Linked DNA regions of Cricetulus griseus. The protein of the gene in region 1 purifies or fractionates together with the protein of each later gene. This does not show direct contact. Links are inferred from orthologs where the notes say so. Each region holds a gene or a part of one and is shown in the gene's direction. Other genes may lie near its edges.

Region 1 (8,149 bases):
AACTTAGCTTTTCTCTGGAGGAGATTATGGCTGTCTTCCTTCCACACTTATGAGCATCCAAAGTGGGCAGCGGGACATGGCCTGTACAGTACTGATATTACCTGGGAGCTCTTCGGTTGTAACTAACCTTATCTTCCCAGTTTGTCTCGGACCCCAGCCCATAGGGGGAAGATAGGACCATCTGCCCCCTAGATTTCCTTTCCCCCTCATGTCTTGCTTTCTTCCTGCTTGATTTCAATGCCCGCTATCTGTCCTGTGCTCCTTGACATCAGAAGGATCTTCAGCCTGCCATTTCAGCTGCCAAGCAGTGATATGGCCACGCTGTGTTCCTTGGCACCATCTCTAAATGGACTGCTCTGACTCAGACCACAGCCACTTGTGCCTCAAGCCCTCAGACCTACCATCACCATCATCATCTCCCTGTACTTTGGAGGGAGGGACAGTGCTCCAGGGCTACCCAGCCACATATCCTTGCTGTGAGGCCTTTGTTCTGCCTTTCAATGAGAAGCTGTTCTGTAGTATCGGTCTGTTTGGGTGCCACCTTTTCCTAGTGATCCAGTGGGGGTCTGCGCCATCTTGGCCTGAAGCTCTGTCTGAGGAGAGAGACTGAGCAAGGAGGAATGCATTGGAAGAGCTCGCCCTTACATCAGGGTCACAGATTTGGAGCAGAAGTCAAGTCCTAGTCTCTTGTAGAGTCCATGAGACGAGAACTGTTGCTTAAACCCTGGAAGGGTAGTCAAGCCCTGTGCCTAGCCAGTGCCGCTGTTTGAGGAGTCACAGCAGAAGAGTTAGGTACTCTCACCCATAATTGTGACAGATGATCAGACACCTTGGCAGCAGAAGGACCAAGCAGGAAGGGATCCAGCTAAGGGGGCAGGCTGTGATAGACCTAACAATGATGACTGGCAGAGGAAGGGAGGCCCATGGGCAGCCACTGGTGCAGAGATGCAATCATGACACCGATGAGTGTGCATATCAGAGAATGTGAGTTGGGTGCTTGGTTGAGAAGGTAGGGCCTGTTTGCCTAAGAGCAGAGCTGCCTGCAGAAGGTCTGGAGCAGCAGGCAGAAGCAGGCAATCAGATGGCCTGGCTTCCTAATATCTTTGTTGTGTCTCCAAGGCCTTCAAGACTGCATGAGCTAGGAGTTTGTGTCTGTACACCCCAGAGATGCCTGTGTCTTGCTAAACTGAGGCCAGCTGTAGCTGAAGCTTGAGTGCTGAGAAAGTTCCCCAGGATCACAACTCTCACTGGGCACTAATGGAAGATACTAGATGGCTCCTTCAAGCTGGATGCCAGCTTCCTAAAGGATTTGGCTTGTGTCTGTTCAGCTGATGATCCAACATGGAATGAACCCCTATGTAGACCCAGGGTTCTCAAACCTGGCTATGCACTGAGGAGTTTAAACAATTGCAGATTACTGGGTCCCACTCCCTCAGACTCTAATTGAATTGTTCCATGTGCAGCCTGGACTTTCAGAGCTTTTTATGCAACTCAGGCCTGGCCAAAATCAAGCACCACTGAATTGGGGGATTTAGTTGCACATGTAGGTGAGAGGAATGTTCATTTGTTTTAAAGAAAGTGACATTTACATAGAGGGTGTTATACATGAGGGACAAGACAGGCTGGCTCTTGCCTCTGGGAACAGGGAAGGAAAGAGCTTATAACCCATAGTGACACTTAGGTTCCGCCATCCCATCCCTTGGGCTCTCATCACTCCACAGTTTCTTGAAGTATTTTGCTCTTCCCTTTGCTGTTCTCACTCCTAGGCCAACCTCTATTTTCTCAGCTCTATTCCCTCTGTCTCCACATCCCCTTCTTCCACCAGCACCTGTCTGTCTGTCTGTCTTCTCCCTCCCCCTGTCCTCCTTCACACCCTATTCTGGTTTTTGGAATCAGATGGAGGAGTGAGGGCTGCAGATGTGACCAGAGGTTGCCTTGCTGAGCCAGGAGGAAAAGATTCTGGTGCCAGATGCTCTGTATGCCCTCCTGTAGGCTCTCCTCTTTAGAAATGTCTTGCTTAAGTGGTCCACTCCTGCAGGCTGGTTGGGAGTTAAGAGAAGAGGTGAATAGGGAGTTTATAGCTGCCTAGCTTAAGTACTGCAGTGTTCCTCTGCCTTAGTGCATGGCTGATCTCAGAGATGGGGGGCGGGGGGAGGCAGGGCTGTGTCTAGGCTAAAAGGTAGACCCAGCCTTTCCTCCGGTTACAGCACAGAGGAAGGGAAGGAGGCATCTTGTTAGTGAGACACCCACAGGTTCCCTCAGAGAAGGCAGACTTAGAAATGAGGCTTCCTGCCATGTGGTGTGAAGATGAAGGCGCTAACCGAAAAGTCCAGCTGTGTGGCACTCCAGGTGTCCTGCTCTGGAAGATTGCCTTTGAGGCATAAAGGAACATCACCAGAAGGAGATGGGAGTCATTGCCAGGAGTCAGGTAGAAGCGCCTGGGGCCACAAAGGGGCTTTTGAAGTAATGTTTGAAGCTAGAAGAAGACCAAGGAAGATGAAGCCCGTGTGTCATGCCAGTGGCAGCAGAATCGACTGGGCTAGTGAGCCGGCTCTTCAAAGGCTGGCAAGAGTGAACATTCCCAGATCAGGGAAGGACAAGGCCAGGGTGGCTCAGCTCTGCCCCCAAGTCCACTTGTGAGGATAGACACATACAGACAGAAACCCTTCTCAGATACCTCTAGCTTGTGTCAAGTTAACAAAACAACAACCAAGACAGCACTTATGCTTTCTCTCAAGCCAGAGGCATTAGCTGGAGGCCACAGCGAATAGAGGTCTCAGCCCCAGGTGATAACTCCATTGACAACCAGAGCAGTCTGTAAGAAGACAGACCAGGGCCGTCTCTCGGCTCTGTCCCAGCAGTTCCCCATCTGTCCCATTTGGCCCTGTCTAATGTCCAAAAGTGACATGCATAGGATATTCACAAGCTGTGCTGTTAAGTGACTATGTATTATCCTCAGACACTCTAACCTGTCTGTAGCTCCAGGTCCTTGAGAAAATCTCAGAGGTAGAGAGAGCCCTTCCCATCCTTGAGGCCTAGGGCCTTTGAAATGGTGTTCCAGCCAGGACAACCTTGCCACTGCGCTGGAGAGCCAAGCCTTTTTGCAAGCCTGGGGTGGGTTCCTGAGCTCCAAGGCTCCTCAGTGCAGCTGAGGTATGGATGTGGAGAGCTGAAATCTCCAGGATCTGAGGCTCCGAGCTGCTCCCACCCAGACCCTCTCCCAACCAGGGAATGCATGTCCACCAAGATGTGGACGTCAAGAGGCCAAGTAGCCCTTCCTTTCCCTAAACTGAAAGACACCATGGGTCAATCTGGTTTTGAGGGCTAGGAAAGCCAGGCTCCTGCCCCTTCCAAAGAATCGCTTGGGGCTGTGGATGAGACTCCTATCTCGTTCTCATCTGTGCCATTTGTTTCTTCTGAGTCTGCTCAGAGAGGAAAAATTTGGAGCAGATACCTCAGTCCTTGCATACCTGAGGCATTGGCCCCTTCCCTGAGCCTCCGCAAGCAGGCACAACTTGCCCCACCCCACCCTACCCCATCTCACACTTCACATACTTGTGCCAACACTGTCCATAGATTCATACCCCTCACACGTGCATCCCACGTACACATCTGTACACACACCCATGCTCACCTGTATGGTCTTGCCCTTTCACACCTCCCTCTCTAAGGAGTGTGACCCAGTTCACACCTGCACACGCATCCCCTCTACTCTACCCTCTGGTGCACACAGATGCTCTTACTGTGCCAGCTTAGTAACATTCCTACATCTTCCTGTATGTGTGCACACTTGCTCTAGAGTGCAGGGTCATCTCACCTGGTCCTTCGGGCCTCTGAACTCCTGACCTATTGGCTTTTTTGTGTTGCAGTCCTCCCTCGAGCTGGAAGACAGCAGCAGTGAATCCAGTGACCTCCAGCTGGAGGGCCCCAATTTCCTCAAGGCATCGGACGAGAGCCTCGCTGACCCCCAAGCGGAAGACAGGGCCCTGGTTTTCTTTGACCTCAAGATTGACAGTGAAAGTGGGTTCCCCAAGAGCTACACCATCTCTTTTACATCATCTCTTTTTTTATCTTAGTCTCTGAGTCCTCAGGAAAAGTGCAGTTAGAGACACCTGGAAGGCTCCAGCCAGCCCTTAGCACTGACAGGCTGTGGCAGCCAGGTAGACAGAGGACTCTGACCCCACCTAGGATATCTGATGTTGCCATATCTGCCTAAGTGGAACGTGGGTATGGGAGGGAGATATGTAATGCCATCGGTTCACGTCTGACAAGACCTTCTCTATACAGAGAGTCTGGGAACAGTGTGTGAGCTCATTGCTGACAAGTAATCCACACTTGACCTTTGGCTACAATCACACATTTCCCCAAACAGGGCCCAGCCCACAAAGGGATACACAGGGAGGCTTGCAGAACCTAGATCTCAGGGAGTTGTGACTCCTCCTCTTAGAAGCCCCCTGTCTTCCTCGCTGTCATCCTTGCCCAGCCCCTCAGCTCTGACCCTTTGTCCTGGCTAACAGTTGTGGGCCCTGCCATTGTGGCTGGCCTACCAGACAGAAGCATCAGGTATTTGCATAGCACACATCTGTAGGCTTCAGGGGGAGACTCTGGGCCATGCCCTTAGGGGGTACACAGGCCATTTCTGTTGTCTTCAGTCCTGGGCTGGTACTGATGGGGTTGGAGGTAGGAGTAGGATTATAGAAGGCCCAGAAGAAACCCTCTGGGGTCTCTGGTGGAGGTGGAGGCTGAGAAAATACAAAAAGGGCAGAGTTCTTAGGATTGAGCAAACTCTAGGAGGGCAGGAGGGATAGGGAAAACCACCTTGCCGACAAGTGAGCCCCCGACCCGTCCCATCAAAGCTAGGCAAGAACTACATTGGTTCAAGAACTATTTGGTTCCTGCCAGCAGGCCTCAAGGTGGGCTCTCTAGATAGTGGGTGAGCAGCCTGGCCCCTTGCACCCAGTGCCTCCTAAACCCTGGAGCCTTACCCTGCCCTTCTTTCCTGCCTAGCCCAGAAAATTAGCCAACTGGCAGCTGTGAACCAGGAAAGCAAGTTCCGAGTACTCATCGAGCCGGAGACCTTCAGTGTCTACTCTAAGGCAGTCTCCCTGGAGGTCGGACTGCAGCACTTCCTCAACTTTCTCACCTCCATGCAGCGCCCCATCTTGGCCTGCTCTAAGCTGTGGGGGCCTGGGCTCCCCATTTTCTTCAAGGCCCTGGATGATATTAACAAGCTGTGGGAATTCCAGGGTGCCATCTACGGCTTCTTGGCTGTGTTGCCTCTCATTCAGGAACGCATACCCGGTGCCAGCAGCTTCAAACTCAGGAACCTGGCCAAGACCTACCTGGCGAGAAACATGAGTGAACGGAGTGCCCTGGCTGCTGTGCTGGCCATGCGAGACTTGTGCTGCCTCCTTGAGGTCTCCCCAGGGCCACAGCTGGTCCAGCATGTCTACCCCTTCAGTAACTTACAGTGCTTCTCTTCCCTGCAGCCCCTAGTTCAGGCTAGTGTCCTGCCCCCGGCCGAGGCCCGCCTCTTGGCCCTCCACAATGTGAGCTTTCTAGAACTGCTGACTGCATACCGCAGCAACCAGCAAGAGGGTTTGAAGAGGTATGGCCGCTATCTGAGCCCGCAGACCTCTTCCTCATCGGCTTCCACCCAACTTGCTCAATACCTTCAGGCTCTGAACACCTACATGGAAGAACTGTCAGAAGGGTGTGCCCCAGCCAGGTCAGAAGGTAACTCTACTCTCTCTGGCCAGAGCTTGGCCAAAGAGGCCTCCGAGCAGAGCTGACAGAAAGGGATATCTGGCTTAGCCGGTAGCCACAGAGGGAGGGGCATCCTTGAGCCAGGCCCCACCCTTCACCACATTCCCAGGCCCTGCTCTCCAACACAGAGCTGTTCTTTAGTTCGGAATAGGTGCCCTTTATCTGGGACCAAACACTCTTTCTCTAAAATTCCTGCAGCAGACATCAAAGGCACCCCAGACCTAAGTCCTTCCTCTAGAAGACAGAATTAGGAAGACTTTACAAGGTGTGGCCTCTGGGCTCTCTGATTGGCCCTCATATGGCCCCAGGCACCTCACCTACAACTACCACGGGGGGCCTTGCAGCTCCTCCCTGATGCTCAATCAAAATGTCCCAAGTGATCTGCTGGTAGCTCCCACGAATAACACCCTCAGGCAGAGGTCCTCAACCTGCAGGTTGTGACCATTGGAGAACTCACATTTCTGGTGGTCTTAGGAACCCCCAGCCATAGCTGTAACCTTGCTGCTGAGCAGTGTCTCAATTGCTAAGATAATCAGAAATAAGTGTTTTCTATGGTCATGGCCCACAAGGTGAGAACCACTGCTCTAAGACAATGCTTACCACTATACCAGCAACCCCCTGGGCACCCAAAGTGCCTCTCAAACCAAATTGCCCTTCATGAATTTGGGTTCTCCCAGCTTCCACTGCCCAGAGACCAACTGTGCTCATGAAAAAAAAAAAAAACACTTCCATTCCAAAGGGGCCTTCTAGCATCAGAGAGCTAGAAGCTGTTGCTCCATCCATATCCCCGTTTCTACAGACTGACACTTCCAACTTTGTTCTTTGTTCATCAGGCCTTCTAACCCCCCTTGCACTCAGCCCTTTCAAGGGACACCCAGTAGGACACTTGCATCGAGACCTTTGGGAAGGTGGCTTTACCGAGGTCCCCAGAATCAGGCTGTCTGGAGTAGAGCCTGCAGCATTAACAGGTTCTCCGGGCAACGCTGTCTGCTCAGTTCTGAGCATCACTGCTGTCACAGACCACCTCCCCATCAAAGGGAAGTAGAGAAAACACCTGGCTGTGTACACTGAATATGATTAGGCCAGAGCTCTAGTGTTCTGTGAAATGAGCTGGCTGGCCTGCATTTTTATCTCAGAGTCCCCAGCCAGTTCTGTCATCCTGGTCTCTCAGTGTGGACAGCAGCTTGCTGGCGCAGCAGATAAGACCCTACCTCTCATGCCAAGCCACTGGTCCCCAACCTTATGATCATCTTGAACGTCAGCTTCCCTATGCTTATCTGAACTGTTGCTGGTGTTGTCCACCTCCTCACCCATTCCCTGCTTCCTGCTTCAAGGAATTTCCCAGATAGCCCAGAGGTCCGGTCTTGATAGGTTTGGTGGTCTCCACTTTCAAGTGAGCGATGCCTGCCCACACCTCTGACCCGTCCTGATGTTTGAAGGCATCCTGTAGAAGCCCATTTCTACCATGGTGAGACTGAGCTCTGACAGCAATCCATTAGAGCTCTGGTTCTGGGTGGGGCTGAGGATGTCGAGGAAAAGAGGCTAAGACCCTCGCCTGGCTATACAGGCAAGGCAGTGCTGGAGCCATGTCTCATACTGAGTCCCAGCCCCACCAGGCTGGCTGTCTTCAGTTTCAGCTGCTGCAGATTTATGACAAAGGGAGGAAAGAAGCCCTGTCCTGTCTGATGTTGCAGCCCTTATATGTGAATTTTTTTATTTTGGTTTTTTAAGGCAGGGTTTCTCCATGTAGCCCTGGCTGCCCTGGAACTCACTCTGTAGACCAGGCTAGCCTCAAACTCAGAGATCCACCTGCCCCTACCTCCCAAGTGCTGGGATTAAAGGTGTGCGCCACCACCAACAGGCTTATTCAGTAACATCATCATTATACCCACTGCCCAGGTGCCCAAGTCCCACTCTGGAGCTTTAATCTCTTAGTTTGACCTTTGACCAAAAATATCAAAGTTTAAATATGCTGTGTGTGCCATTTTCTTAAAAAAAAATTCTGTCAAGATTTATCCCACTACCACCAGCAACCATCAAAACCTTATTGGACTACAAGTTAGGGCACTGGAATTCAGTTCTTGGTAGCCAGTGGCCACAATGTGGCTGTTAACTCCCTGATTACAGGCAGCTCCTTTGAAAGTGAGATAAGGTGTATTGTATTTTACTTCATGAGGTCTTTGATAAGCTCAATGAGAAGATCAGTTTCCTGATCTTAAGGTCTTATTTCACAAACAAGATGAGAGTTAGCACTTTATAAGAAAGCCAACAGCAAATCTTAGCAAAATAGTAATATTAATACACACTATGTTGGGGCAGAGTGCCTAGGCCTGCAGGAGCCGATAAGAGTCTTGTAGCCTCTGAGCAATAGTTGACTCTGTGT
Region 2 (8,149 bases), on another chromosome or scaffold:
GCATCACAAAGCCCAAATTTACACTGGAGATGTAGTTCAGTTGTAAAGCACTTATCTAGATGAGGAGGACCCAAAGTCTACTGTATGCTAACTGCTTTTTAGCTATGTGACATTGTATAAGCTAATGTCTCTGAGACTGAATGTTGTATATACAATTTGAGAGAAAACGTCAGGACTTCTGAAGATTCTCTTAGAATAATGTATATGAATACCAGATGTTTTATAATTATGAATTATAACTATAATTCATCTTTATTTTATTTTTTAGCCAACATGTTAAGGATACCTGTAAAAAGGGCCATAATAGCCCTTTCTAAGTCTGCTAAAGGATATGGTAAGTTCTTTTGTTTGTTTGTTTGTTTTTTTTATTTTATTTTATTTATTATGTATACAGTCTTCTGCCTGCATGCCAGCAGAGGGCACCAGATCTCATTCAAGGTGGTTGTGAGCCACCATGTGATTGTCAGGAATTGAACTCAGGACCTCTAGAAGAACAGTCAGTGCTCTTAACTGCTGAGCCATATATATATATATATGTTCATGAGTATTAGACTTACCTTTGTCAGTTCCATGGTCTATCAGATATTTTTGAGCCCATAATTTACATTAAATAAGAGTAGAAACAATTGACCCAAGTTGACAAAAAAATTTTCAAAATAAACAAAAAACACATAATAGAAAATACTAGAAACTACATTCTGTTTCAAAACCAAAAACAGTGGTCATTTGGTTTTGATAAAGCAATATTAAAGTCTCATCTTTTTGGGTGAGGGGTTCGAGACAGGGTTTCTCTGTGTAGCTTTGGAGCCTATCCTGGCACTCGCTCTGTAGACCAGGCTGGCCTTAAACTCACAAAGATCTCCCAAGTGATGGGATTAAAGGCATGTGCCACCAAGGCCTTAAAGTCTCATCTTAAACTACTATTAAAAATAGATGTCTAAGCCCTGGTGTTGGTGGCACACATGTTTAATCCTAGCACTCAGAAGGCAGAGGCAGGTATTGAGTTCCCCACCAGCCAGGGTTACCTGGAAAAAGGGCCTTGTTAGGCTTTTCTAAGTCTAAAGATATATGTTTGATAGAATTGAATTGAAAAACTTTTTGTGCTGCTTTAGTACTTTTAGAAGTTTGCATCTTGAGGAAGAGGACTAGCAAAAATGAAAATTTTTATGCATGGTTAATCCAGTAGCTTCTGCTGTAATGAGTTAAGCTCTGTTAATTTGTTTTTCATTTTTGTTTTGATGATCAGTTCGAACAACTGCCACAGCAGCAAGTAACTTGATTGAAGTATTTGTTGATGGTCAGTCTGTCATGGTGGAACCAGGAACTACTGTCTTGCAGGTATGCATATGTTGTAATTATTTTTGTGACGGTATGTTCTCTGATTTTTGTTCAAAAATTATTTACTTCATACTGTTTAGTTTAAAAACAAAGCAAAACATTCAGTAGCAGGCAGTGGTGGGGCACACCGTTAATCCCACCATTTGAGAGGCAGAGGTAGGAGGATTTCTAAGAGTCTGAGGCCATCCTGGTCTACAGAGCGAGTTCCAAGAGGGCCAGAGCTGTACAGAGGAACCCTGTCTCAAAAAAACAAAAAAAAAAACCAAAAAACAAAAGGGAAGTCCAGGCATGAAGCCACTGGGACAGTTTGACCGGGAAGCTTGTGGACAATGGCTCAAAGCAGATAATGGGAGAAAAGACTTCACCACAGACTGTGGGTACTTTACCTAATTTCTTACACATAAAATGAGGAAACTTTGAGGATGCTTGTGTCCTTTGAGGCAGCTTCAGAGCTGACGGTTTGGGAATCAAAGTAAAGAGTGAAATCTCTTCAGGAACATATGGAGTAGTGGGTGAAAGTAGAGGTATTTAGGGATGTTAGTAATAAAGGACCCCACCCCACTCACACCCACCTTCTGTTTCAGTGAGGACAAGCACAAAGTCAGGGTCTTTTTTTAAATATTTAATTTATTAATTTATTTATTATGTACAGTGTTTTGTCTACATGTACACTTGCATTCCAGAAGACAGTACCAGATCTCATTATCGATGGTTGTGAGCCACCATGTGGTTGCTGGGAATTGAACTCAGGACCTCTGGAAGAGCAGTCAGTGCTCTTAACCTCAGAGCCATCTCTCCAACCCAAGCGAAGATTTTTGTTTGTTTTTTGAAACAGAGTTTCTCTATGTAACAGTCCTAGCTTTCCTGGCACTCACTCTGTAGACCAGGTTGGCCTCAAACTCACAGAGATCTGCCTGCCTTTGCCTCCAAAGTTCTGGGATTAAAGGTATGAGCCACCACTGCCCAGCTGTGAAGATCTTCTAATGCAAAGTTTTGTCTTCTAGGCTTGCGAGAAGGTTGGCATTCAGATCCCTCGGTTCTGTTACCATGAAAGGTTGTCTGTTGCTGGGAACTGCAGGATGTGCCTGGTGGAAATTGAGAAAGCTCCAAAGGTACATGATGCCTGGAATTCCATATCATGCAATAGGAGGGAGAAAACTTTAAATCTTGCAGCAAACTTTTCTGTAACATCAATACTATTATAAATTCAATGTTTTTTTGTATATAGATGATTCATTTCAAAGTGAAATACATTGATGGAAGTGTTGTATAAACATTAAGGCCATATAACAAGTCTAGGAATTCAAGGTGGTTTTGGTTTTGGTTTTTGGTTTTGTTTGTTTGTTTGTTTTTTATTTTGTTTTTTGCTTTTTAGAGACAGGGTTTCTCTGTGTAGCCCTGGCTGCCCTAGAACTCACTCTGTAGGCCATGCTGGTCTCGAACTCACAGAGATCTGCCTGCCTCTGCCTCCTGAGTGCTGGGATTAAAGACATGCCCCGCAGCTGCCATGAGGCCTCCAGGTATGAGTATGTTAAGACTCATGGTGCAGATGTAGCATGTGGAAGTGCTTATTCTGTGCCGTTTTCACTTGGCCAAGTTGTAGAGAAGTTGACTTTAGTTATGTAAATGCACTTTGGTGTATACAGCTGTAAGTCAGCAATGCCTCAAATGAAAACAAGGCTGGGGTGTGTGTGAGTGTGTGTGTGCACGTGCGCTCGCAAAAGGACAACTTCACGTGTCATTCCTCAGGGATCCTCCGTCTTGTTTTTAGACAGGTTTCTCTGGTTAGGATAAAGCGGTAAGCCCCAGGGATGTGCTTGTCTTTGCCTCCCCAATGCTGAGGCACCACTATGCCCAGCTTTTTTTATATTGGTTTTAGGGATCAAACTTAAATTCCTAACACAGCAAGCACTTTACTGACCAAGCTAGCTCCTTAAATCCTAGGACTCTTTTCTTGGTTTTTGTTACTGTTGTTCTTTGTTTGTTTGCTTTTTTAATTTAAAAGATAAGTATTCATTTAATTAGTAGGAAATGAGGTCTGGGGTACGTGTCTTGATGCACATGTGGAAGCCAGAGAACAGTTTACAGGAGTCTGAATCTTTCTACCGTGTGGGTCCTGGGGATTGAACTCTCAGGTCACCAAGTATGAAAGTGCCTTTACTCACTGAGCCGTCTCACTGATCCTTGGTTTCATTTTTTTGAGACAAAGTCTCTCTACATAGTTCAGGATGACCTCAAATTTAATATCTAGCACACGCTAATGTTAAACTATTTTTAAAATTTTATTATATTTAGTGTATATATTTGTGTGCTTGCTTTCATGCATGCCTGAGTGTATATTATATGCATACTGCTGCACATGTACATCTGTCAAGCTTGGCAGCAAGTGCCATTACCCACTAGTCTCCTCAATGCTAATATAGACATGAGCTGCCATGCCTTTTTTTAATCATGTATGTGCGCATGATATGTATGCATGTGACATGAAATGTGGAGATTAGGGGACAACTTGTCAGATCACCCTTCTCTTTTATGTAGGTGCCAGGGTTGACATAGTAAGTAACTTTACACACTGAGCCATCTTGTCTACCTGTTCCTGGTTTTTGAGGCACAGAAATGGTGATCAGGATGGGTGTGATAGTGCACACCTTTAATACCAGCACACAGGGCAGAGGCGGGCAGACCTGCCAGTGGGAACCTAGCCTGATCTACATAGTGAGTTCCAGGTCAGCCGGACTACACAGTAAGACCCTGTCTTTACATTTTTTTAAGTAAGAACAAATTAAAGACAGACAGACAGACCAGGAAAAAGTTTAAAAAGTAAGAGCCAAGCATAATGGTGCACACCTTTAATCCCAGCACTTAGAAGGCAGAGGTAGTTGAATCTCTGAGTTTGAGGACAGCCTGGTCTACATAGAGAGCCAGGTGGAGAAACCCTATCTCAAAAAAAAAAAAAAAGAAAAGAAAAAGAAAAAAATGATTTGAGGGCATGATAAAATGCTGCTTTGACTAATAAAAAATCCTTAAGGACTACTAATATATCTTAGCCTCTTTGGGGTTGCTATAACAAAATATCCAAGACTGGATACTTTATGAAGAGGTTTATTTAGCTCATAGTTTTGGAGTCTGAAAGCCCCAAATCAAGCAACTACATTTGGTAGACATGTGATTGTTGTATAATATGACAGAAGGAAAAGCAAGAGGGCCCACCCCCCTTATTTGGCAATAACCCACTTCTCGTGAGAGCTAATCTACTCTAAGACCTAGTCACTGAGATACCAGTATTACTCTCCCATGTCCCAGTTGCCTCCCACTTGACACTGCTTCTCATAAGTCTTTGTAGATTGGGGACAAACCATAGCAATGCCTTATTTATTTTTTAAGATTAACATGAAGGGGACTGGGTGGTGGTGGTAGGTGGACCTCTGTGACTTCGAGGCCAGCCTGGTTTATAAAGCAATTTCCAGGACAGCCAAGGTTGTTACACAGAGAAACCCTGTCTCAGGGGGGAAAAAATAACATGAAGGTTCAGATTATCTTATGGTTATAAAAATACCTGGAAAAAAAGTTTGTTGTCTTTTAGAGAAGGTCCCACTATAAATAAAACCCTGGCTAGACTTGGCTAGCCTCACACTTACAGCCTCTACCTCTTGAGTGCTGAGGTTATAGGCATACACCACTATACCTAGCTGAAAACTAAAATCTATTTTGAAAAATAAATCTCTGCTTTTTTTTTTTTTTTTTTTTTTTAGTCTTTGAGACAGATCTCAGGCTATCATGCAACTCATTGTATGTCCCAGGGTTTTGTTTACTTTTTAATGTTTTGTATGTAGCATTGCTTATGACTACAAATAAATACAAATATGGATTTCTCCATTGAAATTCTAGGTTGTAGCTGCTTGTGCTATGCCTGTTATGAAGGGCTGGAATATCCTGACTAACTCGGAAAAATCTAAGAAAGCCAGGTATGTTGTTACTGCTGTAGAATTGTCAGGAGGTATTTATGCCTCCCATAGATGAGGGATTTAGTGTCAGCCTTTGGAGAACAGCAGAAATGAGTACACAGTAGAGGAGGTCAGCTCAAGTAGTCAAGATACTGCTTGGAATAGTGTCAGCGTTGAAAATTCACCTCGTGATGAGTAGTACCCAGGGCTTGCTGAGCTGAGTTCATGATACATTGGCTCTGGTGCTCAGTGTGTTTCTGAAGCTTGTGGTAAAGCTATAGAACTGATACAGGTGAGTGCTTTGCCATAGTGCTGTATGTAATTCCAGCCCCATCTTCATTTTAAATTAATGTTGAAGCTGGGTGGTGGTGTTGCACATGTTTAATCCCAGCACTTGGGAGGCAGAAGCAGGCAGATCTCTGTGATTTCGACTCCAGCCTGGTCTGCAGAGCAATACAGAGAAACCCTGTCTCAAAAAACAACAACAACAAAATTAATGTTGATATTTTCTGAGAACCTTTCAGTAATTTCAACAGAATTTGTTTTGGAGATGCTCTCATGTAGCACAGGATGGTCTCACACTCATGAGGCTGAAGGTGACCTTGAGAGTCTGGTTCCCCTTCCTTAGTACCAGGATTACAGGCATAGGACACCATGCCTCAGTAATGCAGTAGTGGAGTTGAATTCAAGGCTCCATGCATGCTAGGTGATCATTCTACCAGTTAAGCTACACCCTACCCCTAGCGATGTTTGAGAGTTCTGTATTGTTAAAAGTCATCATTTAAAAAAATACATAGCTGGGCCGTTGTGGCGCTCGCCTTTAATCCCAGCATTCGGGAGGCAGAGGCAGGCGGATCTCTGTGAGTTCGAGGCCAGCCTAGTCTACAAGAGCTAGCTAGTTCCAGGACAGCCTCCAAAGCCACAGAGAAACCCTGTCTTGAAAAAAAAAAAAGTAAAAAAAAAACATTTATTTTATTTTCTGTGCATTGGTATCTTGCCTGTATGCATGTCTGTATAAGGGTGCCAGATCCCCTGGAACTGGAGTTACGGACAGTTGTGAGCTGCCATGTAGGTGCTGGGAATTGAACTTGGATCCTCTGAAAGAGCAACCACTGCTCTTAATCACTGAGCCATCTCTCCAGCCCAAAAGTCATAATTTTAAAATATGAGCATAATAGCACATGCCTATAGTTTCAGCAATTGGGAGATTGATGCTACATGGGCTACATAGCAAGACCCTGTCTTTAAAAAAATAAAAAATGCTGATGATGGTGGCATATACCTGTATTTCCATCATTTGGAAGGTATAGGCAGGAAAATCAGAATGCAAGGACATCCTTGACTACATTGTGAGTTGGAGGCCAGTCTCAAATAAGTGAATAAACAAAGCCCTGAAAGTCAATTTCTTAGGATCAGTATTTTAGTTGAAACTCTATGAACATGTTCAAACTGTGTTTAATACTAGCTGAATACTAGTATGGTACCATGTCTGGAAGTCAATGTAAAATTTACGCTAACTGTAAAAAAATACCTTTGAAGGTTATGGAGGTAGTCTAAAGGAAAGGTCGCCATTTTTTAGTGGTAGCTGCTTACGTTACTTTATATATTCAATTTTTCATACAGAGAAGGTGTGATGGAGTTCTTATTAGCAAATCACCCATTGGACTGTCCTATTTGTGACCAGGGAGGTGAATGTGATCTGCAGGTATCTAGAACAATTCTGTTAATCTTTTTGATTGATTCATTTTAATTTCATTAGCAGCATTAGATTGACTGTCTCGTAATCTACTTAAGGACCAGTCCATGATGTTTGGAAGCGATAGGAGCCGGTTTCTAGAGGGGAAACGTGCTGTGGAGGACAAGAACATTGGACCATTGGTAAAGACTATCATGACTAGATGTATACAGTGTACTCGATGCATCAGGTAATGTTTCTCTTCAGGAATATCACTGGGTACTAACTTATTTTCATTGAATAATAACACTTGAAATGATAGCCATTATTTAGTGGGGAAAGTTAGATTTTGTTTTTCTTGTTTTGGGTGTTTTTTTTTTCATATATTTTGATGAAAGAACTATGATATTTGCTTTCAATTAATGCCTATTTCAGTTAAATTTAAAACTTTAATTTTGGTATTAATTATGTGATAACTTACTGAACTGTATATACATGATTTGTACAGTTTTCCATTTGTGTGTTATACTTTAGTTACAGAAAAACATTAATTTTTATTTGCTGACTATGCTTATCATTAAAAATGTGCTAATGCCTTTTTAATGTTTTGGAAGTCATTGTCTTTGTGATTATGAATAGGAAAGGAAATGCTGTTTGTTGAACTCAACCATTTGATAAATTGTTATTTTTTAGGTTTGCAAGTGAGATTGCAGGAGTAGATGATTTGGGCACAACGGGCAGAGGAAATGACATGCAAGTTGGCACATACATTGAAAAAATGTTCATGTCTGAATTGTCTGGGAATATCATTGATATCTGCCCTGTAGGTGCCCTAACCTCTAAGCCTTATGCCTTTACTGCCCGACCTTGGGAAACAAGGTATTTATCTTTGCATTTTGATCAACTTGTTTTTACAAGATCTTTGTGTGTGTGTGTGTGTGTGTGTGTGTGTGTGTGTGTGTGTGTGTGTGTGTGTGTGACAGATGTTGTTCAGGTGCCCACAAATGTGTGTGCAAATATATTTGGAAGCTGGAAGACAATGTTTGGTGTCATCTGCAGATCAGATACATTGTCCACTTTCTTTGAGACAGGGTCCTTTGTTGACCTATAATCACCAATTAGGCTAGAGTGACTGGCTAGAGATCCTTCTGTCTGCTTCCCCAGCACTGGGACTCTAAGCGTGTACCATCAT
Region 3 (8,132 bases), on another chromosome or scaffold:
AGGAGGTAAGTTTTTGAATATAATAAAAGTTATGGTAGAATTTTTCGATATATAGATTGCCTATGAAAATTTAAGCTTCATTTTCTAGAACTTTAAAATGTTTATGTAATTTATATGTGTATGTATGTATGCACATGTGTGTATGAATGTCCACAGAGGCCAGAGAAAGTATCAGATACCTTGGAGCCAGTGTTTATAGGTGTTTGTGAGTTTCATGATGTGGGTGCTGTATCTGAACTCTGATCTTCATTATTGAGCAGTGTTCTTGGGTGAGTCATTTCTCCAGTCTCAGGTTTCCGGAATTTCTGTTTGCTTACCAAGAAAGGTAGAATTTAATCTCTTTGGAAATATCTAGGGTATATAAAAGATACCTAGGGCACATAAAATATTTTCCTAGATATTTTGTATCAAGACAAAAACCAAAAAACAATTGACTTAGCTCAACTGTGTCCCCCCTTTTTTGTTTTTGTTTTTGTTTTTTTTTGTTTTGTTTTGTTTTTGTTTTTTAAAACAGGATCTCACTGTATATCCCTGGCTGACCTAAGACCCACAGAAACCCACCTCCCTCTGCCTCCTACATGCTGGAATTACCATATGCACCACCATGCCTAGCCTCATGCATCTTTTGTGAGGAGTCTTAAAAGTGTTGTCTGTTTGGGGATGACATCATTTTTTAGTAGTTGCAAGAAAATGAATTCATAGATGGTTAGCTTCAGAATTCCCTTTAGAGTTGCTCATGTTTCTATACAGGGTAAAAATATATGTACCTAGACCACACTAACAATGCTAAGTAACTTTATATGCCCTTTGTTTCATGAGACATGATTTTTGACCATGCAGATGTAAAGATCAACTATTTTTCTGTGTAAAACAGAGCCCTGGGGTTCAGTGGGAAAGGAGAGAAAGTTTTAGGCCTTTCTTGTTACTTTAATCCATATCTTTATTTTCATTGTGTTTTAGAGTCTATATAAAATTTTATTTTAAAGCACCTTCTAAACATATCCTAAAAATGAGCTTCTAGGTTTTTTGGTTGCTTGATTGGTTAGTTTTGAAGGTTTATTTGTTGTTTTTAATATTTTCATTCTTTGAGAATTTCATAGTCTATGCTGATAGATTTCTCTCTCTTTCAAGTCCCTAGCTAGCCTCTCTAGAGAGAAACTTGACATCATCCCAGAATTTATTCTAGGGTTTAACCTTTGAGTATTTTAGACGTAGGAATGTAGTAAGATTTTGTTTTAAAGCTTTGCACTATGTTTATAAATTTAAGAAAGAGTAGAGCAATGGCCCGTGTAGTTCTGTTGCTGGAGTTTCTTTCCAGCCTGGTCCAGTAGCCAATTAGCTCCAAATAAACACAGAAAGACTTATATTAATTTATAAACTGTTGCCAAAGGCTAGGGCTTCTTACTGGCTAGCTCTCTCTTAATTATTAACCCATAACTACTAATATATGTATTTCTACATGGCCTTATCTTACCAGAGAACCACTGGCACATCCCATCTCCCTGGTCTCTACATGGCATCTCTCTTGTGGCTTCACAATGTCTCCTCTTCTTTCCTCTCTTAGCTCTGCCTATACTTCCTGCCTATCATTTGGGGCTGACGGGCGGCAAGACCTGGTGGGACAGAAACCTCCAACTTCAAGTTCTATACAAATGAGTAGTTTTTAGTAACTGCTAATTAAATACAATCAACTTTTTTTTTATTCATGAGACTTTAAGACTGCAGCATTTATTAATACTATAAAATATGTGTAAATTTATGAAGCAAGCTTGAGTCTTGCTACTCCTTCATTTTAATATTTTCTGTTTACTGGACATTGATGTGTTTTAGAAATTGGCATACTCGTGTTGATAGATTTCATTAACTAATTGCTAACATTTGATTTTCTGTATACACATTCTAAGCATTGGATGTACCTACTCTTTATTTTTTGCCTTGTTCTGATGAAGAGAGATGCTATAAGTAGTAGCTTTTCTAAATTATGTAATTCGTAAGTTTTGAATCTGGACTGAGTATGGTTAGCATGGTATTTGTGGGGGCTGAGGCAGGTAGGCTTATGAATGTGAGGTCAGCCTGGGTGTTGCATTGTGAGTTCTTCGCTTGTCTGGGATACATAGCAAGACCCTGTCTCAAAAAAAACAAAAAAAACCAAAAAACAAAAAACCCCACAAAGACGACCCCCCCCAGAAAAAAAGAAAAAACAACAAAAGAAAAAATCAAATAGAATCTGTTCAGTTTGACTTAGAAAATCATTATAAACCAGGCATGGTACATGGTGCATGCTAACATCTGTGAGGCAGGGGGATTGTAAGTTTGAGGCAAGGGCCATGAGGGAGAATAGCAAGGGAGGCTACTATAATATGGTTTGCTCAAGGATTTGAAATATATGGTCCTCTACCCAAAGATTATCTGTAGAACAGTTTTGGGACAAGTATCTATCAATTCTATCCAATGGGGCAAGGATATAGCTCAGTTGATAAAGTGTTTGCAGCACAAGCTTGAGGTTCTGAATTTGGATCCATGTAAAAAGCCAAGTATTTGCTTATAATCCCAGTTCTAGGAAGGAGGAGATGGGGTTTCCTAGGGCTTCCTGGCCAGGTAGTATACCTGAATCATTGAGCTCCATGTTCAATGAGAGATTCTGTCTCATAAAACAAGTGGAGAAGCAATTAAGGAAGACATTCGGTGTTCACGTATGGCCTCCACATGCATGTGCATGCACATGTATGTTGCACAAACGTGTACACAGCATGAAAGACTTTAAATTGAATTTTTTTGAAATACAGATAGAAATTTTGTAGACAGAAAGGATGAAAGGAAATGGCATCCCTAGAAGACAGAGTCAGGCAGTTTCCCAGGAACCATGTTTAACATGGGTAGGTGTCAGGTATGAAGTATAAAGAGTGATGGTAAAGTCATACTATAAAGGACCTGAACTCTCCTATAAATTGTTTAGTTTTCAAGTGAAAATATTGTTCCTGTTTTGATTTCTGCTATCCTGGAAATAATGCCCGGGCCCTTGAGCACATTAGACAGGTGCTCCACCCTGGTTAGGTTCTCGGCATTTTCAAAAGCCCAACCAGAGGATTGGCAGAAGATTGGGAGAGCAGAGGCAGCCAGCTAGCTCCTCAATGTTTTCCTTTAATCATTAATTATTCTTTAAAATGATTATTTTTCTCCATGTGTGATATAAATTGAGGATTCTATATTGTGTCTGACAGACCACTGAGCGAGTGTGTGTGTATGTATGATGAAAGTTTGTGTATGCCACACTGAACAGATGGCAATCAGAGGACAATGTTGTAGAGTGGGTTCTGAGGTCCCTTGCATGTCATGCTTTTTGCATGGCAAATGCTTTACTTGTTAAACCATTTCTGTGGCCTAGACTAATGATTCTTATCCAGTGTTTATATTCAGGATTTTGTGTTATACTTTCCAGCTTTGCATGTTTTAAGCAACAGGTTAATTGGTAATTCATGCTTTTTCCATTGTACACACATACCCATGGCCAGTAATCTCTTGTGTTTATTAGAATCCTTGCTTTTCTTAAACATAAAACTTTTTCTTAAGAAATGAAAAGTACAATACATTGACTGCTTATAATTAGCTGGTTTTCCTCCAATAATTTTTTTTGTAGTACTTATGTGGTAGTAATCGAAAGGACAACATATTTATTGATCCAGGATACCAGATGTTTGAGCAAGAATTGAGTAAAATACTCCGAAGTTGGCAACCAAGCATCCTTCCAGATGGTAATTTTCTTTTTAATATGTGTTAATAGTTGCTAATGGAATTGTTGTTTTTATAGAAAGTATGTTAAGTATAGTTAGGTATGATTTAAATTAGAAAGTAAGAGCTTGTGCCCATGAGCTCATTTGCAAATAAATAGTCAGTAACTAATGCTTTTGAAGAACTTTGTAAAACAAGTGGCCTACTCTGAGGAAGAGTGCAAGGTTAGATATTTATGTCTTAAGACCAACAATATACAGATTCTGATGTGACGAAAATGTATTTGTTTCTGGGAAGCACATGTTGTTTTCAAGGATTATACATATTTTAAATTATTTTCTGATCATAACTTGTTTGTCCTACTGAAGGACAGAAGCTAGCATCCTGTACCTTATTCTGTGGATGGTGGTTCCATACACTGTTCCCCAACCTTTTATATTGTTAAAAGAGCTAATATGTAATTTTCAGGTTCATTCACATTGACCTAATGTGGAAAGTGGATTGGCATTGGGATGTTTTAAATTCACTTTTATTTCTACATGGTTAAATTTAAACTGTTGTATTTATAATTCTTTTAAAATAGTTCTCTCTATTTAAGGGTCAATATTCTCTCGGGTTGAAGAAGACTATCTCTGGAGGATAAAACAACTAGGATCACACTCTCCAGTAGCTCTTTTGAACACCCTGTTCTACTTTAACACTAAGTATTTTGGCCTGAAAACAGTGGAACAACACTTAAGACTTTCCTTTGGCACCGTGTTTAGGCATTGGAAAAAAAATCCTTTAACAATGGAAAACAAAGCATGTCTTCGTTACCAGGTGTCTTCCTTATGTGGAACAGACAATGAAGGTAGTATAATTTCTTTTAAAATCAAAATTTATCTTTATTTTCTGTGTGTTTTGCCTATACACCACATATATGCAGTGCCTCAGGGTGCCATAAGGGTGTCAGATCCCTTGGAACTGGAGGTATGAATGATTTTAAGACACCATACAGATTCTAGGAACTAAACCAAGGTCTTCTGCAAGAGCAGTAAGTGTTCTTAACCTCTGAGCCATCACTGGCCCTGGTATTATAGCATTTTTATTTAGAGATTGTTTGTGATGGGAATAGTCAAACTTTTTCTATCAAAGCCCACCTCAACCAGTCATTAAGAACCTAAAGACAATTGCTTTCATAAAACACAACAAAATGTGTTGTGATTCCCCCCTTTTCCTTCCTTCCTTCCTTCCTTCCTTCCTTCCTTCCTTCCTTCCTTCCTTCCTTCCTTCCTTCCTTCCTTTCTTTCTTTCTTTCTTTCTTTCTTTCTTTCTTTCTTTCTTTCTTTCCTTTATTTCTTGAGACATGGTCTTACCTGTGTATCTTTGGCTAGTCTGGAACTCCCTGTGTAGACCAAGATGGCCTCAAACTCCTAGATATCCTTCTGCCTCTGCCTTCAAACTGTATCTTAAAATGTCTTCGTTTCTTTTTGTTATTTGTTTTGAGATTGGAGTTCTAATTCAAACTGGCCTTAAACATTATATCAAAGAATGACCTTGGAACTGTGCAGTCCTCCTTCCTTTGCTGAGACTACCTGCATGAAACATTGCACCTGTTTTTATGCTTAGCTGATGTTCAAACTTGGGCATCAGGCATACTAGGCAAGCATTCTACCAGCTGCCAACTGAGCTGTATTCTTAGCCTCTCAGTTCCTTTTGTTGGAAAGATACACATTATCAAAACCTACCACACAGAAAACTCTGAAGAGAACCTAATCCAATGTTGATAAAACAGGTGCTATGGATGAATAGTAATTTCTTTCCTCAGAACTGGTTTTAGGGTGTTGGTAAGTAAAACCAGTGAGTGAAATCAGTTGTTGCACATGTCTGACCACTTGAATTGGAATTCTGGAGCCCACATAAAAAGCTAGATGCAGTAGGGTGCACCTGTAATCTCAGCACCCTATGGGGAGAAGAGAGGTAGATGGGAGAATCACCAGGAAGCTCATAGTCCAGCTAGCCTGGAGTATGCAGTTCAGAAGCAGAGAGAGCCTGCCTAGGATAGGTGGAAGACAAGAACTGACTTTCAAAACTCCTCTGACCTCATCTACGCTGTGGCACACTGTGCCCACATTCATACACATAACATACATACACATATACACAAGAAAGAAAAAACGATTGGTTTTAGGAAGCTTACTTTTGTTATTGTTGCTTTTTAAAGATAAAATTGCTACTGGAAAACGAAAACATGAAGATGATGAGCCAGTATTTGAACAAATTGAAAACACAGCCAACCCTTCTAGATGTCCTGTGAAAATGTTTGAATGCTACTTGTCTAAAAGGTGAACATTATTGATATTTGACTTTTATTTTGTAGTACTGGGGTATTGAACTGGTGGCTCTACCACTGATCTACATGCTCAGCCTGATACTTGACTTTTTAAGATGTTTGTATAAGTTGGTTGAATTGAACACTATTAAATGATGGTATTGTTGGGCAGTGATGGTGCACACCTTTAATCCCAGCACTCAGGAGGCAGAGGAAGAGGTCTCTGTGAGTTCAAGGCCAGCCTGGTCTCCAGAGAGAGCTCCAGGACAGCCAGGGCTACACAGTGAAACTCTGTCATGAAAAACCAATATAACACGCATGCACTAACGCACACCCCATTAAGAAGTGACATTTACCATTTTTTGAGATTTCTTTCTTTGTTTAAATGAAAGTTTATATTCCAAAGTTATATTCTACTTTAACTTTAGAGTCCTCTTGTGAAATACCAACCACATAGGCTTTAGGCTTCCCTCCGTGTTAAGCAGTTGCTCTATTAAAAGTATCACTCTGCTATTGTCTTTTATATTAGAGCAGTTCTGTTGCTTGCTAAGCAGGGACACAAACTTTCTATTTAGAGGTAACTATTTTAGGTTTTTGGGTATTTAGTCTCTATCTACTTGATTGTCTTACTACAACTAGAAGAGGCCATATATTGTATAATAGTAAGTTCACGGTACATGGCTTTATACAGGTTGCTGGCCACTGTTTGCCTAGTGCAAAGGTAGATGTCTTTCAAAGTAGGTACAATGGGTAGAGATGAAAATAAAATATTTATAGCCGGGCATTGGTGGCACACGCTTTTAGTCCCAGCACTCGGGAGGCAGAGACAGGCGATCTCTGTGAGTTCGAGGCTAGCCTGGTCTACAGAGCGAGTGCCAGGATAGGCTCCAAAGCTACACAGAGAAACCCTGTCTTGAAAAACCAAAAAAAAAAAAAAAAAAAAATCTAGATGTGAAAGAAAACAGTTTTTTGAAGACATTCTTTGGAAGGTCCTCCAGTTGCATGACTGCTGTCATCCTGTCTGGAATTAGCAGGCTTTGTTGAGTCAGTCCTCTGTCAGATGGTTTCATTTTGAGTGTTTTAAATAAGCACTCTGACTTTCAGAAAGTGCAGAGTTGGGTTTGTAAACAACTTCTCACATTGTAGTGTGGTTTCCAGGGTGGCTGTCAAGAACTTATAAAAGTATGAACTTTACCTTTAGCATGACCATGTTTGTAACAAGTGTAAGAGTAGGTTTCTTCTCTTCAGCTCTGTTCTGGAGCATCAATTTAGTTTCATTTATTTCCAGTGTTGGTGACTATTTGCCAGATGGGAGTTCCTTTCTCAGTATTGTCTTGTTGGTATTTAATGTTTGGGTTTTTTCCCCTTTTCTTTCTTTCTTTCTTTCTTTCTTTTGTATAATGCTGTAAGACTTTACTATGCTGCATATTTTCATCATTTTAAGTCATTTTTTTTTTTTTGCATTTCCCTTTTCCTGAAATGGACATGCACTGTTAAATTAATGCATTTGAGATTATAATTGGCACCAATATAAACATGACTAAAAAAAATAGTGTATATATTAATGGAGTCTTGGATTCTATGAAATACAGGATTAGAATTATAGTAGGGAGCTCATGCTTTTATCACAAAACTTAAGAGAACAATTTACTGATAAAACAATGCGGTTAATGAGGCAGAAGGCATTGAGCACATCTGATGCTGGGGGCTGAGTTGTTCTTGAAATAAGTAAAGTTATGGCGAATTTCATTCTGTTACATGAAATTGACCTTTATCTCTCTCTTCCTCCAAAGTCCACAGAATCTTAATCAGAGAATGGATGTTTTTTATTTGCAACCAGAATGTTCTAGTTCTGCAGATAGCCCTGTGTGGTACACATCTACTTCCCTGGACCGGAACACCCTGGAAAATATGCTTGTACGGGTTCTTCTAGTAAAAGATATTTATGATAAAGACAATTATGAACTGGATGAAGACACAGACTAAAAAGGACCGTTTCAGAAGCTATGGGATAACACAGCATTAGATAGTCATGCTGCTAGATCTTTACAGGAAAACATTTCAAGTTTACTCTTTCTGTTTTAAGTTTTGT

Evidence for each region. The genes of interacting proteins can lie anywhere in the genome.
Region 2: the proteins of Pml (region 1) and Ndufs1 purify together in Homo sapiens (affinity purification with mass spectrometry; 3 studies listed by BioGRID and IntAct, counting the BioPlex papers as one, with this or other methods). This does not show direct contact. The link is inferred for Cricetulus griseus from reciprocal best matches to the Homo sapiens genes PML and NDUFS1.
Region 3: the proteins of Pml (region 1) and Zmym2 purify together in Homo sapiens (affinity purification with western blotting; 3 studies listed by BioGRID, with this or other methods). This does not show direct contact. The link is inferred for Cricetulus griseus from reciprocal best matches to the Homo sapiens genes PML and ZMYM2.

Annotation. Positions count from the first base shown.
Region 1 is NC_048597.1:169,821,453-169,829,601, reverse strand, and holds the end of Pml (protein PML), read left to right. Parts: intron 1-3,869; coding exon 3,870-4,020; intron 4,021-5,007; coding exon 5,008-5,792; 3' UTR 5,793-7,739; downstream 7,740-8,149.
Region 2 is NC_048595.1:417,269,444-417,277,592, reverse strand, and holds part of Ndufs1 (NADH-ubiquinone oxidoreductase 75 kDa subunit, mitochondrial), read left to right. Parts: intron 1-268; 5' UTR 269-273; coding exon 274-334; intron 335-1,246; coding exon 1,247-1,338; intron 1,339-2,342; coding exon 2,343-2,450; intron 2,451-5,226; coding exon 5,227-5,303; intron 5,304-6,905; coding exon 6,906-6,987; intron 6,988-7,076; coding exon 7,077-7,207; intron 7,208-7,650; coding exon 7,651-7,836; intron 7,837-8,149.
Region 3 is NW_023276807.1:212,011,430-212,019,561, forward strand, and holds part of Zmym2 (zinc finger MYM-type protein 2), read left to right. Parts: coding exon 1-5; intron 6-3,637; coding exon 3,638-3,752; intron 3,753-4,312; coding exon of another isoform or gene 4,313-4,326; exon of another isoform or gene 4,327-4,327; coding exon 4,328-4,579; intron 4,580-5,932; coding exon 5,933-6,053; intron 6,054-7,833; coding exon 7,834-8,026; 3' UTR 8,027-8,132. UniProt on the Homo sapiens protein: Involved in the negative regulation of transcription.